Linked DNA regions of Saccharomyces cerevisiae S288C. The gene in region 1 interacts genetically with each later gene. Each region holds a gene or a part of one and is shown on either strand. Other genes may lie near its edges. The genes, in order: YOR032W-A and AIM26.

Region 1 (10,082 bases):
TGCTGGTATCATCCGGACTGGCCGCTAAAAATAATACGAAATATAACTTTATTATCTTGAATTCTTTTTTTACTGCTTTTTCATACATACGTACATATAATGATCTTCTCACTTAGTATACTAAATTTGTTTCATGCTATGGTTGATATTTGAGAAATCGGAACTTGAAGATAATAAGTTTCTTGGGCGAGGGAAAAAAACATCGGACCATCTTTCCTGTCGTTCTCCGGATCAGCCCTAGGAAATTTCTGGCCGGAACTCTCCTTAGAAACAAAAAAAATTACGTAATTGGCACAACTTTACGTCAACAATATTCATTACATCAGAATGCGAAAAAAAAAAAGCGAGAATATCTAAGCTCCATGACAACATTCGCTAAGCTGAAAAAATTAGGGAAATAAACTTTTCAAATTGCTATGATATAATTTCGTTTCTTACTATGTATTTTCTACGTATATTTTTACACTCTTGACTCTTTCCTTTTTAGTAATGTGCCTGCCATAAAAAAAGGGAGATGAAGGAAAGAAAATAAAAATGGTGAAAATTAAGCTTTGTTGATTACCTAATACAAGCTGCCTGAAACTAGAAACCATAAATTGTTTCCTATCTCGTAATATTTTCGCCACCTTAGGCATCAATTTTCTTTGGAGAAGGGGGGTTGCATCCCCCTGAAGAAGTGCTTGCCATGTGCTTTGAAAACTTTTAAGATGTTACTAGTACTAATAATTATTCATTATTTTATTCTTTTAATTTCGACTTTAATGATTCAATCATTTTTTTCAATTCACTGTTTTCTTTCATCAAGCCATCGAATAGTTTTGATTTTTCTTCGAGATTTTTGATGTATTTCTCACGACGCTGCCTAAACGCCTTTTGTGCGCTTCGATTTTGGGCAGCTCTCTTAGTATTTCTTAAAGGTTTGCCTGTTTTACCGATCAACTGGCCATCATTGTTATATCTTTCGCCTTCGTTAAAAACCTGCTCTGAAAGAGAAACGGAAACTCGACGTCTTTCCTCTGAAGGAAGGTTAGTCGTGGCACTATTTTTTCTCGTAGCTGGGGTACTATTTGAGGGAAAATATGAAGCTGCCGGTTGGCTAGTAAATGTAGATGCAGTAGTGTAGGAAGATTCAAATGGTGCGTGTGATGCAGTGGTGTATGGATTAGAATTGAAGTGACAGTTTAAATGAGTATCTGATAGTTGCGGTCTAAGCTGGTATGTGTTCAGTCTTGGTAAAGACGGAGGAATCAAATTGTTTATTGTCACCGGCCTTGCAATATGTGGGCCCGCAGTATTTGGAACATCCTCACACAATGCTCCTATATTAACAGAATTTCTTCTTCCAGAAAGATCTGTAAGTGAGCCAGTTCTGCTCTCATAACCAGGCTCTTCAAGTGTTGCAATCTTTGGGAGCTGAATTTGCGGTAGAGTCACATTCGAAGCAACTACCGAAATTGTATGCAAATCAGCCTTGTTCTCCTCTTTAATAAACCCTACAGGAGGGCTTGGCACGAAAGCGGTATCCGTCATTTTTTTTGGCTTTGTACTGTCTCTTGTCATTGAATGGGAAGCTAAAATAGGTTGAAAATTAAAAGGATGATTGTCCATTTTTATTTGCATTAACATTTGAGTAGGTTTTTGGTTTTCCTTCTTGTTCCAAGCTGTTATTCTATATCTATGATGAGATTAACGGCTGCAAAAAGTCGTAGTTAATCAGTAAAATTATCTAATGAATTATTTGTAAGCAGAATGCGTGAGAAAAAATAAATCACCCAGTTCCTTTTTTATATACATGAACTTTGGTAATGATGCAGACATCAACTAGTTCTCGAGTGAGGAGGTATCCTTATCAAATCACTCTCTCCCTAGTATTGAAAGGGTTTTACTCGCCTTCTGCTCCTAGTTACGATTTTTGCCTAGTACTCCTTCCTACCCTCTTCCTCATAGATTTAATGCCAATAAAATTTTCTTTGCATGTCACCATTGGGATCGGTGAGGCAACTCCGGTTCCGATTTTTTTTTTTTCAGCGCCGTGGTATTTCCGCTCGGGAAATCCCCTCCCGCATTGCGTCAGAGCTTATCGATGTAAAGTTAATTTCCCTTTTTTTCGGTTGGGCTGGAGCACTTGGTTGCATTACTAACAAATTAACGAACAATAGTTTTAAAAGCAAGTGCCTTAAGATTTAGGTCATTCCTTCGAGGATTTCTGGGAACAATTTAAAGAATAACAGAAACTTTTGCGGCCCTTTTCATCATCTACGTGTTTTGTAAGAATGAGATCACATTCCACGTAGCCCTAAACATTGGCGTACATTTCCACTCGGAACCTTTTCTCGACCCCTCTCCGTACGCCAAGTTTTACCTTGAGGAGTAAGTCGTCAAAGGGGCGTGGGGCAGCCATTTCTTAGGAGGTGGGAAGACATGGCAGTGAGTGGGCCCTATGATTGCTGCTGCAGGGGACTTTTCAGGATAATCATGTAAACGATAAAACGGAAAAACAAAACTACGGACGTTGTTACCTTTCCATTTTGAAATGTTTCTCCGAAAAAATACCATTTTGCACAGTTCAACATTCTTGATGGCAAAAGCGAAGCATTGCGTCAACGGGTTAGATAAGTCATTTACTGTCAATTAGTACCAATACCTGTCTTTGCTCACCGAATGGCACTATACAGTGACGTTAAGATCTTGTAGTTGTTTTTCAAGAAGGCACTAAATAAGGTAATATATGGTGCCTTTCGCAATGACTCGTGTATCTGGCAGATCTATAGCTGCACACCTGATTTTTTTGCTATATTTGAATCAGGAGTAAGTTTGAACCATAATCATTCCAATTCAGTTTGATAGTACCTTTTTTTTAAAATTTTTGAAAGAGCTATCGCTTAGCTATCGGCGGGCATATTGAATTGCGCAGTAGATGAACATTTCACTAGTTGTGGCCAAAGAAGTTAGTTAAAAAGTGTAAATATGTCACAGTACTTATCCTTCTCTAAAGAATTAGTTTATTAAAAGCAGCAACAAGAAGAATGACTGTCAACCATTTTTAGGTCATTGCAACAAATCTCAAAATACGCTTTTATAGATAATCTAAGAAGATCGTTATATGGGAATACTAACAGTGAGAAAATGGAAGAAACGGGTTAGCGTAGAAAATTGTAATTAAAAAACAACAGTTTTAAGAAGGTGGTGGGCAATTAATACTTGAGGATTAATACTTAGAGCTTATTCAAAAAGAAAAGATAGAATTTCATGTAATACATGAGAACAATGTAAGGTTTTTAAGGTAACGAGTAACTAAGTTTTGAAATATCTTCACTAGCCTTGCAATCATCTTTTAGCTTTTCTATTTGCCGGATTCTTTACAACATAATCACGCTTTCTTCTAGTTGTAATTTTCCTTCTAGATGTCATTATTTCAACCGATGTCATTAATATCCTTTTATGGTGTTTACAAAAAGAAAGTTTCAAGTACCGCTCACCTACACTACGTTGTAATTCTTAGATACATAACTTTAGTTTTGTCGCCTATGTGCACAGATAAACAAAACAACCTATAAAATTTCCGTTGGGCCCTTTTGTCCCTGATTTCTGGTGTGTAACCCATTTATTTCTGTCCTGTAATAATTCGTCTTCGGTGATTGCCATATATACACAGTTTAGCTTTACTAACTATAAACATCCGAGAAGAAGAAAAAAGAAGGTCTGATTTCTATCAAACAACATGTGAAGATAACACAATCGATGTGATTGATATCAGATTTACTAGCCCCGTTGGATTGAAAAATCTGCAAGGAAGGGCTAAAGAGCAATATACTTTCTTTTGTTGTTTCGGGGTGATGAGAAAATTGTAACTTTTTTTTTTAACTTGGCGAGAAAATTGACTGGAAGAAGTGTCAAAGATAAGGCTTCTATCATATTCAAAACAAGTACCACCAAATGGCAGCTCAACTCCGAAGGCTCAAAAACAATACTTATTGATATTGCACTCACAAGCATTTTTTGTTGCGGAACGTCTTTACGTGCAAGATTAATGATCATAAGATTGCATTTTTACTACCTCCTCACTTTAGTTTACCATTTAGGACTTGTAGGTGCGTATGAAAAAGCAGCAAGAAAGAGAATTCAACCTCCCGATTTGATACCTGGTCCTCCGGGACATAAACTTGGTGATGAAAGACCACCGCATTACGACCACCGGCCACCTTATAAAAAACACATCGACAACATTCCAGCTTACAATCTGACTGATTTGATAGATGATAAACTACTAAATAAATATGAAAACTCATGCACGGTAAATGTATTGACAGGTGGCTTCATCTCTCTAGCAAGTAATTCGTGGCACTTACGTGCTTATAATTACACTTTAAATTACCCATCCTTTTTGATCCGATGCGATAATGGCAGTGCAAATCCTAATTTCTCTCATGTCTTACAAGACTTTGTTTATGACATCAACAACAAATTCAACGTTCAAGATGACAGTAGTAAATACATCGGAAAAGACCCATTTCCCTTAGGAATGATAATGATCACCTTTGCTTCTGGGTGTATCTGTGTGGCAACATGGATGCTATTTTTGGTTGTCTTATTACTGCCATCCGATAATCATAATAGAAGAAATAAAGTTGTACATGTTTACGTCCTTTTCTCTGCGATTATAAGAACTGTATTTCTAAACGAGACTATAGCCGTCATATTTGACAGCCAATATCACGATGACTACCAGGATGCGAGCCAATTTGAATCGTTCATCGTAGAAACTGCACCATATAAAATATGTGAATTAGTTGCAAATATTTTGAGTGATATAAACTGGATTTATATTGTTCACTACTTACAGTCCAATTATGGAAAACCAACTTGGAATTGGATCCCATTTAAAATGAAAAAGGGGACACATATCATAATTACCGTGGGTTGCTTCCTCTCACTAGCCGATAACATTTTATTCGCAAACCTTCTTTGGAGAAAGAACCTTGTAGTTTTGAAGGTATTTTACAAGCTAATCGAATTACTGATTTACACAATTTTCATCTCCATTATTTGTTACTTCACATGGCATAATTTTGCTTACATACTTTTACCGAAAACTGCTGAAATTAATACGGACGGTAAGTGTAAAACGAAATTGAGAATTCTTTGGGAAAATTATCACGAAACTATACCATTATTGGCGTATAATATTCTTATATTTATTTTATTCTATTTCACCACAATTTTTTTCGCTGCTTTCACCAAACATGTTAGAGGTTGGACATTTAACTTTGTTCATCTTTTGAAAGTTTTAATAACAGTGAACGTTTGGGGCTTAATTGGAGTATTGGAAAAGAGGGAGCTGCACATAAGCAAAAAAACAGTCCTTGGACGAAAAATTAACAATAGGGACAAATTTTTCGCCAATCCAACAGTCAATTATTACGGAGAAGATTTAGGCAAGCATTTAAGCGCCATAACGTTAAACAGGGATTTAAACACTACTAAAAGTAACACTACTTCCCACGATTCATCAAGTTTAGTAGGATCCCCTTCACCCACCTGGAAATCTCCAATCGAAAGAATAAGGGACAGAAGAAGAAGACATAAGATAATGAAAAGTGAGAATAAATTTGGGCAAAATCCCAGTTTTGGAAGTAAATCGAATGGCAAACCTAATACTAAAACGACATTATCCAAATATCGACAGCTATTAAGGAAGCCTAGGCGAAAAACCAATTCATATGAACCAAAAAATGGCATTGGACAGAATAAAGAAGGCTCAACTGTTAGACCAGGAGCCGACAAACATATTAGAGATTCCAATTATCTAGCTACAGACATCAGTGACAACGAAAGTATGGAAACCGAACTTCGAACCAACCACATTTATAATTACGAAAATAGTGATTAAGGCAGGCCCAGTGGACGAAAAGACATAACTGCAGAAGTACAGCTGCCTTTATTTCTTGTGGTCATTTATTGCTTTTATTTTCAAGTCAGATATACAAGAAAATCAAATCCCATCGTCAACGTCACGTATAAACGATTAATTTACAGTAATACCATACTCTACCAACATTATTTTAGTCCGACGTTCAGTCCTGTAGGTGTTCCAAATCCTTCTGGCATTGACTTCTGTGCAGAAACCCTTCAAAATGAGTTCCACTTTACGTCAGATCGCATAACAACCGGTCATATATTTTTTTCTTTTGCTAAACCCCCTACTGCAAGCACTTTTAAGAAAAAGAACAATAAATGCGTCTTTATTGCTGTGTGGAAGTGATTTTTGTCTTTCGGACAAAAAAAGGATAGGGATGCGAGAGGGCTGTGAAGTAGTGATCAAGCGGGGCCTATATAAGAAGGGCGCACATCGTCCCCCCTAAGAATAGCGAAGCGATATTACACTGAACACTACAATGTCAAATAGTACTCAATAAATATGACTGTAAAAATATGTGACTGTTAAGGCGAATGTTGTAAGGACTCTTGTCATTGTGGGAGCACCTGCCTTCCAAGCTGTTCTGGCGGTGAAAAGTGCAAATGTGATCACAGCACCGGAAGCCCTCAATGTAAGAGTTGTGGTGAAAAATGCAAATGCGAAACCACGTGCACTTGTGAAAAGAGTAAATGCAATTGTGAAAAATGTTAGGTGACCCCTACTCTTTACTTATCATAAATACATCATCATATTTTACCCTTAATTAACAACATTTATTTAACTGCATGAACTAAATATAAGGTATAGTTTCTTTTTCCCGGAATCTTTTTTTTAGATCGTTATTATTTAGACGGCACTAAGAGAAATAAATTAAACTAAATTACGGTGCGGAGCTCAAGGCATCTGCGAGTGTTTACTAACACTAAAAGAGATGAATAAAATAGATTTCTCAATGCAAAATTAAAATTACAATGTTACGCATACACACAAGTACAGATTTGTATATAGTATTTCTTCTTCGTTTTATCTGTCGTGTTGAAACATTTTGTTGTTCAAGTATTAAAAGTCTCCTGCGTTGTTAAAATCCATATCATGTGAATTGTTGGTGCCGCTCATGAGGCCGTTTTGATGTGGAATATTATATTGAATGTTATGCAATGGTTGTTGTTGTCGTGGCTGCCGCTGCCGTTGGCGTTGGCAGCTTCTGGTTTGCTTTTGTACTTGTTCACTACTACTGTTGTCACTCAACGGTTGAGATGGCTCGGTAAGATGGACGAAAGAATCCCGTGTGTCATTTGATAAATGTTGATTAGCCAAGCTTAGCTGTAGGCACTTTCTTTCTAAATGACAAATATATTCAATAGATTTCGTTAAAATGGACGCCTTATTCAATTTTGTTGCTGGCTCTAGGCCATCTAAGTCTGCTAGGTCTCTAGATGTAATGGGAAGATCGTTACATTTTTTATACGCTACTCGTAGCGTTGGGACAGTTCTCCTTAATTGTTCAATTTTATCATTAATATTGGAACGGTATTTCTTTTCAATTATATTGTGTGATACCCTTCCTGTCCTCACCCTTGTTATTCTTTTGGGTTTAACATGAAAATGTTTCCGTATAGGTGAAGTTTTTAACTTGAAGCTCATACTGTCAGCATTGTCAATATTCTCCAAATTCAAAGATGATTTAATCTCGTCTGCAGTAACTAAGGGAGACTCTGTCTTCGATAAAGGCAAAAAATTTTCAAAGCCAGACAATTGTTCCTTTTTCACGATTGAAGCTGCTGAAAGAAGACTCGAGTCCTTTTCAGATTTAAGATCGGTTTGCTTTACATTATCAATGTTTTCATTTTCCTCGCTACTAAAGACTTCCATGTTATCAATGTATTCTTCGCTGTCAATAGTATTGCCATTGTCTGTAGTCATTGTAGTACTACCCGTCGTTGTTGTAGGTATAGAAGCCAGAGCATCATTATAGTAATTACTATCAATTACTGGAGTGTGGCCTGAAGTATTAGGAAACGAGGAGTCACTATACTGGTCTGTGGCAGAATATGTGTTGTTCTTATATACAGGAGGCACGGGAGGTTGAAGATGGATGGGATGCTGAAATGGAGCGTAATAAGCATGCGTCGGAGGTCCTTGAGAACCCAAATCCTCGGTATTGTAATTTGGTGGCGGCACGTTGTAATTGTTACTTTGAAACATTAAATACATTTGGTTCGTGGTTACATTTACATTCTGCTCTTCGCTGCCATCTTGAGCACTTCTACAATCAAAAACCTTGATGGCGACTTTATTACCTAGGTCGTTCATTACAGAATTGCCATCCGAAGAACCAGAAAAAGGTTTTTGAAAATTTGGCATTTCCAATTTATACTCTTATCGTTGCTAAAATGAGTCGTGTACTGCAACTGCTCTATATTCTATATTCTAAGCGAATGGGTGGGTGGGTGTGACTAACTATTAAACTACCTAAGCGATCTCGAGAGCCAAGGCGAGTAGTAGAAATAAAACTAGAAGCGCGCTTTACAGGTTTGACCTTAAGTATGATGCGATAAGACACTTACATAGGACGATTTTTGAGGCTTACAATGTGTAACCAAGGTATATAAAAGGTGCTGCTGCTCTTGGGAAAAATACAAAGAAAACGCCTACGGTAAAAATACAATACCAGCTATTTTTTTCTTTTGAGAAGCCCACTCAAAGTAAAAATTAAACAATGATGGAAAAGAACGGAAAAAAGTTCAAACAGAAAATTAAAATACAGCAGAGAAGACTAGGCACAACAAAGTGGGATTGTGTCTACGCTTTTAACGGTGTACCCTTTTTCCTCGCCACGTTTTCACTCAGATCTAAATCTCTGCTGTAATTTACAGCGGCATAAGAAGGCACGTCCCCTGAAAGTAGGCTAGCCAGAAAACAAAAAGGCCAGAATCGGCGCGGAACTTCTCGTATCGAGAGCAAATGAGGGGTGCGGCACACAGTAGGAAAGGGTAACTGATTAACATACGTACACCCCGGCATAAAAGCTTCTGCAGGCTTTGTAGGCAAGAGACACTGCGGAGAATAAAAGGTTGTGACGCCCAATACCTTCGCCGGACTCCTTCTTGGCGTTCACAAAAGACGATGCTGCAGCATTTTTTTCTTGCGTCGAACTCGCGCCCACAGCAACGAGACGGTTCCGTTCCTTCCCGTAATGTTGCTTTGATTAACAAAATTCTCGTTTCCTCAGTTCTGTGAGCCCGTTTGTCAGCAGAGGAATCCCAATGAAGAAAATTTTTTCTGGAAAGTAAAAGCGAGCGAAAAGTTTAAGGTTCAGATTGCATCACTATTCGTTCAGTTGATAGCGAATGTAGACCGCTAGCGGCTTGATTAGATAAATAGAGTGGGTTAAAAAAAAGGAAAAAAAAAATGTGAATTGCACATGCCCAGCGCGCTCGCAAAACATATAAAGTTGTCCTCACATGCGGCGTGCATTGTTCATAGCGGGGCAAACATACTTGTGGCTTAATTTGACACATCTACTTTTAATCTTTTCTTGGTCTAGTACAATGGCTTTTTCCCAAAGTAGAAGGCTTCTTACTCCAACCGTACCCTGTCCTACTTTACTGGGCATTGATTTTTTAATTCTTGTCTTGAGGCATTTCGACGAGATTTTCATTTGAAAAATATACCTCCGATATGAAACGTGCAGTACTTAACTTTTATTTACCTTTATAAACAAATTGGGAAAGCAAGGAGATAGATCTGACTGCCGGCCGAGCTTGGCTTGACTTAGTAGTTTCGATGTCCCTTTTCTTACTTTCCTCATGCAAAATTGGTGATGAATTGAATGATTTTCGTTCATCTACGCTTTTCATGTCAATCACAATTCTCTGTGACCTGGCACCAATAAGGCTTTTTCGCAGTGATGGCCTTTGCGTGATTTGATTTTTACCATCGTTATCGTCGCAATCATCATCTCTATTTTGATTGACGTATACCATTCCTCTACTTTTTTGATTAACGTGCCGAGGAAATAGTGGTTGTCTATTTGCATTAACTCCGCTGAATGAAGATGAATATCTAAACTTTTGTAAAACTTTTGTGCACCCCGATATACTCCTCTGGGATGACCCGGGAAATGAGGTGGTGCTGCTCGTGGGAACTCTTGATTCCGCAGTTT
Region 2 (8,048 bases), on another chromosome or scaffold:
CGTTCAACTTCAAAACAGCCAATTTGGAAAGGTTTGAGACATTCTCGGGCTGCTGAGAAATAATTTCATACTTAACCACTTCATCCGGGTTGGGAGACTTGATCTTGTCCCATTCCAAGGTGGTTCTAGAAGACTTCTCTACCAAATATCTCCTGAAAAGCGTGAAAAACGAATCCAGTTCGTTCTCAAACTTAGCGCGAGCAGCATCGTCAAGTTTACTAGAGTCCGCCAACTTGTTTAAGGCGTTTCTCATTTGTGAGGCAGCAACGCTGTTTGTGTTGCTCTCGAATGCATAAGTGGAATGTGTTTTGGTGTGCTTCTTAGTGGACATTATTATGTTATGGTACACTTGCTGTGGAAGTTATATTATATAATCGGAAGAGGACTAGGCCTTTTAACGTTGCTGATGTGGAAAGAACCAGAAATTGAATCTCCAACTCCTAAAACCGTAACTTCAATCTCATGGTACCTGCTGGAAGAACTTTGTTGTTTGTTTAGATTTATATACTCAATCCAAAACAGGGAAAGGAAATGCAAAAACGGGCCGAGCCCAAACAAAAGAGGAAGCGCGTCAGGCTGTTCGAGAAGGGGCGGGGGAAGGGGATCAGGTTACAAGACGCTGTACAGGGATCTGTGTGAGAACAAACCGACACCAGAACTTTGGACTTTGCAAGCGCCGGAATTGAATCTGTAGCAATGGCAATGGCAATAGTGATGGCACCAGGTGTAACAGCAAGCCGGCGGTAGCAACGTGCGTAATAAGGACTTCTGCCCCTGAAAAAGTATGCCAAAAGTAGGAGAAAGAAAGACCCCTTTAGCTGTGAAAGAAGAAGGTGCTCCCCGCCCATTGTCTGCATGCGCCCCTGAGCTTGGCGACTCTCGAATACCGTGGAAGATGGTGGAGCACCAGAGTAAAAGGCCGTGCGCACTCTGACAAGGCAGTATTGTTACAGGTTAAAACAGCTAGTGTGTATATGTGTAAGTAAGTATTATTTATGTGTTTTACTTAAATTGGTCATTCATTGCATGGTAGTTCTTTACGCGAATTTCTGCCTGAGGAGAAGGGAGAACCTGACCTACAGGAGAAGGGAGCATAGTTACCTGTCAATACCAGCCTAACTCGGAATCGTCCAACAGCTTCCAGCCGATACTAACGAAATTTTCCAGGGCAACGTTCTCAAGCCTGGGTTCCTCTGCGGCTACTGGCGCCGTTGTCGGTTGTGTACCAGAAGTACGGCGTTCATCAAGCAATGTCTTCATGACTGATGACTCGCGGAGGCCTTGGCCCGACTTTGGCCACATGACGTCGTTTCTGGTCGTGGACGAAAGTCCTCCTGTCAGGGACATTATGGGCTTATTAAGCTCGTGCTCGAAGATCTTGAATGGCTTGATCATTGTCAGCACGCTGGTGATTTGAACTACTTCATTCATCGAGTTTGACAGCTTCATGACCAGGTCCTGCGACTTCTTGGTGTCCTGAGTATTCTGCGTTGTAGTTGCCGTCATCATAATGCTAATGAGTGATGTAGGCATCTGCTTGACCAGTTCAGTGATGTTGTAGACCTCGTGCAGGATAGCAATAGCAAAGGGGGAAATTATCCCCCGGCAAAGGTCTGAAAGGATAGTGCCAGTGTCTTGTTTCAGGCCTAGTAATTTCTTGTAAAAATCTGGATTCCCCTCCGATGGAGGTGCAGCGCTAAGGTTCCCAGCGACTGGAGACGAGCCCATAGCAGATGGGCCCTCTTGCACTGTCGGATTATTAGCGGGTGGGTTCGGTGGTCTATAATTAAAATCAATACTGTTCGTAGGATTCAGTCTTAATATCAACGTCAATACTTGCAAAATTATTGATATCAATGAGCACAGAGAGTCTGCTATTTTCGAACTCAAATCCAATGTCAAATCTGAATAGACTCCTGCTTCTGAATCGTATAATGATAATAAGCAATTGATGAAATTGTGTTTGCCAATTAATAGCTTGCAAAATAACTGTGCTACGGATAGAGGTTGAGTTTCCACATATTCCGATAAGAGTGAAGACGAGTTCGTAATATCGAACCCAGGCTTCCTATTGCCGTTCATTGATATTCTATTCCTGGTAAGCTCACTCATCAATTCACCCAATTTCAAGCTTTGCAAGACGCTTTTCAGTCTCAATTGGCTTTGTTCCAGGCACCATTTTGAGCCCAAATCATTAGAAAAAAATCTTTCTGTAGAACCTTGGATGGAAATGTTTAATAGCTTGGGACCACCGAATGCACAGCTTTGTAAAGAATCAAACACTGAAAGCAAAACGTATAATCTTTTAAACAACACTGAATAGTGACTAATGTTTTCGTCCATGGAATTTGGTGAATTGGATGGATTCATATGCCCAGCACTTTCAGATCCAATTTCAAATTCGGACGTTTTTGTATTCCCATTACCAGTGCTGACCTCTTCATCAACTGGAGGCTTCACATCATTTATATCCGGCTCCGGAAATAATAGAAGTTTGTATAATTTAAATTCGTTAAAAATTGTCACCGACATTCCAAGTACAAATGAGTTATCGTATCCAACAAATGCCAAAATGTAATTTAAAAGAATAAAAGTAGATAAATAAATGACTTTGATCTTCGGCGAAATTTGGTCGTTGTTTTCTCTGAATTTGGGATGAATATCCACGATTTTTTGGAAACATTCATTGAGGGCGGCAATAAAAACGCTTTGCACTTCCAAAGTATCCTGTACTTCATTATGTGAATCACGTCTTGTTTTTTCAGCATCATCCCTTGCCGTGGCTGTAGTGAACCCAGCTTTGTTGTTGTCATTACTTGGCGACAAAGCCACGCCAACAATATTATCGAAAAACTTGCCACCTGGCTTTTGTTTCAGAGCAACACGAACTAACAATTCCAATGAATTTCTAAACCACAAAATAACATATGAATTGACTTCGTGTATATTGGAAATTGGCTGTGTGTTAACTAACAATAAGTCACTGGTCAAGGTCGTTTTGTTTAAAGGTATGATCGGAAATCCTACATGTATGAACTCATAGTAGGTGTCTATTAGATCTACATCGGATATCTGTCCATACGCGATAGTTGATGAAGTGGTCATTGGGTGAGCAGAATCTTTCGATGTTATAGATATAGATGAATCTCTCTTTGGTTTTGTCTTCTTAGATACGTAACTTTTTCTGCGTTTTTTTGTACTTCTCTGTGGCGTTGATCCAGGGCTGGATGCTTCCAAAGCCGCTGGTGTAGTTACAGATTCTTGGGAATGTTGAGATGTATCCTTAGAAGAACCGCTATTATTGCTGCCATTATTGTTGTTAATTTCACCATTATTATTCTCATTACCATTCAGCCTGTCCGTGGATAATGTTACTGATACGGGGGCTGATTGTCGCCTTTTATTTCCATCCAACTCAGATGAAAATTGCGGTACCTGCTGTCCTTGAGGTCTTTGTGTTTGCTGTGCAACATTTACGGGGTTTGTAGATGTGCTAGTAAACATGGCAGGTGCACTGGGAGACATAGCCTCGCTGGCGACTGATCCTTGTCTAGAATGAAAACCATTAGCAGCGAACTGGCCAAAAGATGATATCGATGGGTTGTACGGTTGCTGCTGGGAAAATTGAGAATACGAGTATAGGTTCTGTCCTTGTTGCAACTTTTGTTGGTGTGCTTGTGGCTGCGATTGTTGCTGAGGTGGGGGAAGCTGAGGCTGGCCACCTAGTAAAAGAGAATTTGAAGTATTTCGTAGCAAAGAAGGTATGGAACTTGATCTTCTTGTCTGTTCCCCATTATGATCATCAGTAGGAGCTAGTAAACCAGAAGTTCTTATAAAGGACCAATAACCACCACTACCAGAGGCACTGCCTGAGCCGGTGACACTTCCGTTTGCATTTCCAGAATCATTAGTATGTTTATTCGTTATGGGAGACTGTTGAACGGTGTTATAAGACAACTGCTCGTTGGGATTTAATGTTCTTACCGATATATCACTTTGCAAAGAATCGATAGATCCTTTTCTTTGGTGTTGAAACTCATGGTAGGGCACTTTCCAAAACTGCTGTTGGCCAATATTACCCGCGGGCATAGTTGATTGTATCGCTGGATTTTGGAAACTAGGAGGAATGCCACCAGCCTGGGGAATGTACTGTGTCAGTGGGGGCAATAAAACTGAATTAGATCTCGAAGGGGTACTTGGAACTGTGTTACTGTTTATACCGTTGTCGCCGCTATTGCCCGTATTATTATTCAGGGTATTGTTACTATTATCAAACGTATTATACGACCTTGAGTTATTGTGGTCTTGTATTTCGTTAGTCCTTGGATGGCTGGTGCTCCTCGTATAGCCTTTCGAGGGTCCCCTTTTCAAAGGAACCCTATCAAAACTACAACGGTCTCCATTCCTTTGGCAGTTTGAGCAGACCCCCTTTTCATCTTTGTAGTCACATTTAATCTTCTTTTTACGACACTGATCGCAGGCCCGGGAGGCCTTTGTTCTTTTCTTTATTGCGTGACTTGCTGCTGCTGCGGAGTCCATATCGTCGGGACTATTGGATGTACCACCGTTCTTGGTGGAGTCACTGGAGTTAGTCGAAACAGTGTTCAGCTCGTTCATAATTTGAAATATATTGGAGTTTGAGAGAAGAGTACAGCTTCTTGACAAATGTGAGAATCGAAGAAGCGTGTTATTATTGCACCAATGAAAATTGCGGGAACGGTTCTGCACAATATAGTACAAGGGAGAGGCGATTTCCAACGAAGTCTATGGTGAAAGAGCAGAATATGTTGGATGGACAATACTCCAGTCTCAAAACTCCAAGCACGGTTCCTAACTGATGTGTTCTTATTTTGACTTTTTTTATTTTTTGAATTTTTACTAGTTGCTACTATTTTTTTTTCCTGTTTTTCCTTAAAAGGTCCCTTCCCATAATCGTCTTGCTTAGTTAGCTACATGAAAAAAAAGGAAAAAACTAAAGGAAAATGCACAAAGCAGCGACATATTTTATGAATCCAATACCTGCCATTTCAAGAAGCTCGGATTATTGGTGAGGTGACGTAGCTTTTGTTTGATGTACTGTTGATTATTCGTCTCTGGTGCTCATAAGCCACGTCACAGAAAACGATAAACGATGTTAGCGCACATGCTACATGACTTGCCAATCGTGGTAAAGCTTCTGATGAAAGAACCAACTTGCGGAAGCGTGCCCATAAAATGGTCGTGCGGCTTAACGAGCAATCACACCGAATAAAGTGATCCCGTAAAATGATATTCTACTCGGATGATCCGTTCCCTAGGAAGCGTAAGACAAGTAACTACAAATGTTGTCGCATGTATATTCTATTACTCAGAGCGTTTGACAAAAAAATCTTCTCCCTTTCATTAAAAACGAATCGAAGAGCTGGGTTTATAGCATTGTCACTAAGGACGTGGTCTCATCATAAACAAATAGAATATACATGTTATGTTACATAGGAAAGACCGAAAAAGCCAGAGAAAGCTAATAAGGTTAGCACTGATGCAGCGCGCAACCTTACGTTATCTGGCTTCGTTGTTCATCCTTGAACAAAGGGAATTCCTCACTTCTGGTCTTCCTGCGTCTCTTCTCATAAACAAGTACACATGAAAAGTCTATGGACCAATTTTCTCTTCCATTTTATAGTCGATGAACAGAAACTTTTCGCTTGTTTCGGTTTGATATAAATCATCTTATCACCGAAAAAAAAAAAACTCCAGCGAGCGGCTAAATAAATACAAAACGAAAAAGTTAGGTCTAGAGTATAGCATAGCTTTGGTGACTACAGTTATAAACAGGTAAAAGCACGCACAAATAAATGAAAAGAAACGTGCAACGCATTTATTTATTTATTTATTTATATTCATATTTATATTCATATTCATATTCACATCGCATTGAACAGAAGTGCATATGGTTCATAATTTCTTTCTTTTCGCTTGTAAACATTTCGTGACTGCCCTCGAAGAAACTATTTGTCTCATCACCTAATCAAATCTGCTGGAGGTAGCGTTATTTTGTTGGAGAGGGAGACACTGGCCCGTGGCCTTGGCTATGGTTATTTACATTATCGTGTCCTTCTTCATCATCAGTAAAATTCAAATTGAGGTCATCCTCGTCTATGCCACGCTCACCAGTGATGATACTTGCGTCATCTTGATCGTCAAACGATTGCAAATCGCCCAAGTCAAAGTCCGCGACATTTTCTGGGTCTGTGGGTAGTTGTTGGGATGCGGCTAGCATGTATGAAGTATCTGTTGGTCTCCATAAGAACGCGATGGTAACGAAAACAATGAAATACACTAACGTAGGCCAGAAATCAGTAACGAAGAACCTTGACCTCCAGTTCTTCTCAATCATATCAATAGTGTTCATGCCAACGTAAATAAATGACGAAACTATACTACCAGCTAGTACACTCAAAAAGGACGCATAAATGATGTATAGTAGCTTCTTGTACATGTTCAATTTTACGATCTGCCTTTGCTCTTTCAAATAGATAACTGTTTTTGTCATGGATCTAATAATCATGTAGTAAAATATGATTAATGCAAGCGCCATAGGAATCAAGGTGATCAAGATTAGTGGAGATGGTGCCTCCATGTCGGTCAAATAACTTTGGATCAAAAATCCAATGCAAATTGCATAAGTTAACGCACCATACATTTGGCAACGCCTCATCAACGTTTTATTCAACTTAGGGTACACGATACCGTAGCCCAAAGCGATAATCAATAATAGGAAAAATGAAAATGTAACTTTACCAGCCGTCAATATCGACAAGAACACCATATAAACTTTTATTCCCGCAGTATCACCTTTTTCATTTTTCAAATCATAGTAAGCCCATACAAATATGGTTTCTGCGGTTAAAAATACAAAAAAGGCCAGCAAATACTTTTGTAATGGTAACAATTCATGCTTGTGCTTCCAGAAGGCGAAGGAATATAACGCCATCGCCACAACGTATGCGACCGCCAAAAGACCATATAGTGGCAATTTGTTGATCTCGGTGCCCGCAAGCTGACCATAAGCATTCCTGAAATTCACCACAGCGTTGAACTTGGTAGACGTCGATGATCTGAACGCAGTAACACAATAAAATCCGGTTTCTTTTATTGGGTATCTAGTATCATGAAGGCCGACCTCATTTTGAGAAAACGTCATGATTGGATTGGCCAAAGATCTATTTGTGGAAGTATATGGATCATATACAACATCTTGAACAATAAACTCATCACGATTCTCCTCTTCACAAATCCCGATATCAATTGCATAATCATCACAAATATAATACATTTCTTCATCCGGCAATTGCACACCTAAGTGCTCAAAGTCTTGGAAATCATAGATTGCAACGACTAAGCCTGGATCAGACTCATCACTCAATCCACTTATTTTTTTAAGATTGAATGATATAAACGGGTCTATTTTGCCCTTCCAATCTTCTTTGGAATACATACCTGCGCATACTTGATAATTCTTTTGACTTATCTTTTCCTTGTTAGCTTTTACGAACACTAGAAGGTAGCATAAGAAGCAGGTGAATAATTGGAAAGGTCGGCAAAACTGATATACTCTCATTGTGCCCTTACACTCTTAGTTTCTGTAAATTTACTGCCTTTTTACCAGCTGTTTCTTGAAATTACCGAGAAAATATTCTATTTCAATTTTTAACCTGCAAAACCTGAACAGAATAGTTGATCCTCTTGACTATTAGTTTGAGGCTAAGTTTTTTTTTCCACTCTCCCTATTCCTACTCCTATATATATCTTGCTCTATCTTTTTCTTCAAGTTCGTTTTTTCACACACTATTTAAAAGACCAAGCTTATGTGTGACGTGCACGGGTGCAATATCTAAATCGGGCAAAACAACTAAGCAGTAATTAAAGTACCACACTCTAGCCGAAAAGAGGTATACATGAAGGTTGAAGATTCGGAAGCAATTCCCAAATTATGTTCAACATTACGGATATTACAATGTTCAATGCGCATAATACACCATAGAAGAAAATTGGCACTACGTATATAC

What was found.
Region 2: mutations in YOR032W-A (region 1) and AIM26 together harm fitness more than expected from each alone (negative genetic interaction), as found in Saccharomyces cerevisiae (one large-scale study listed by BioGRID).

Annotation. Positions count from the first base shown.
Region 1 is NC_001147.6:382,795-392,876, forward strand, and holds YOR032W-A (uncharacterized protein), read left to right. Parts: upstream 1-9,381; coding exon 9,382-9,582; downstream 9,583-10,082. Other genes in the region: Hsp90 cochaperone STI1, read left to right, coding at 1-28; CIN5 (Cin5p), read right to left, coding at 739-1,626; YOR029W (uncharacterized protein), read left to right, coding at 1,806-2,141; DFG16 (Dfg16p), read left to right, coding at 4,031-5,890; HMS1 (Hms1p), read right to left, coding at 6,977-8,281; Rad2 family nuclease EXO1, read right to left, coding at 9,622-10,082.
Region 2 is NC_001143.9:362,174-370,221, reverse strand, and holds AIM26 (Aim26p), read right to left. Parts: upstream 858-8,048; coding exon 501-857; downstream 1-500. Other genes in the region: UGP1 (UTP glucose-1-phosphate uridylyltransferase), read right to left, coding at 1-331; RGT1 (Rgt1p), read right to left, coding at 1,105-4,617; PTM1 (Ptm1p), read right to left, coding at 6,029-7,600. UniProt on the Saccharomyces cerevisiae protein: Involved in selective mitochondria autophagy (mitophagy).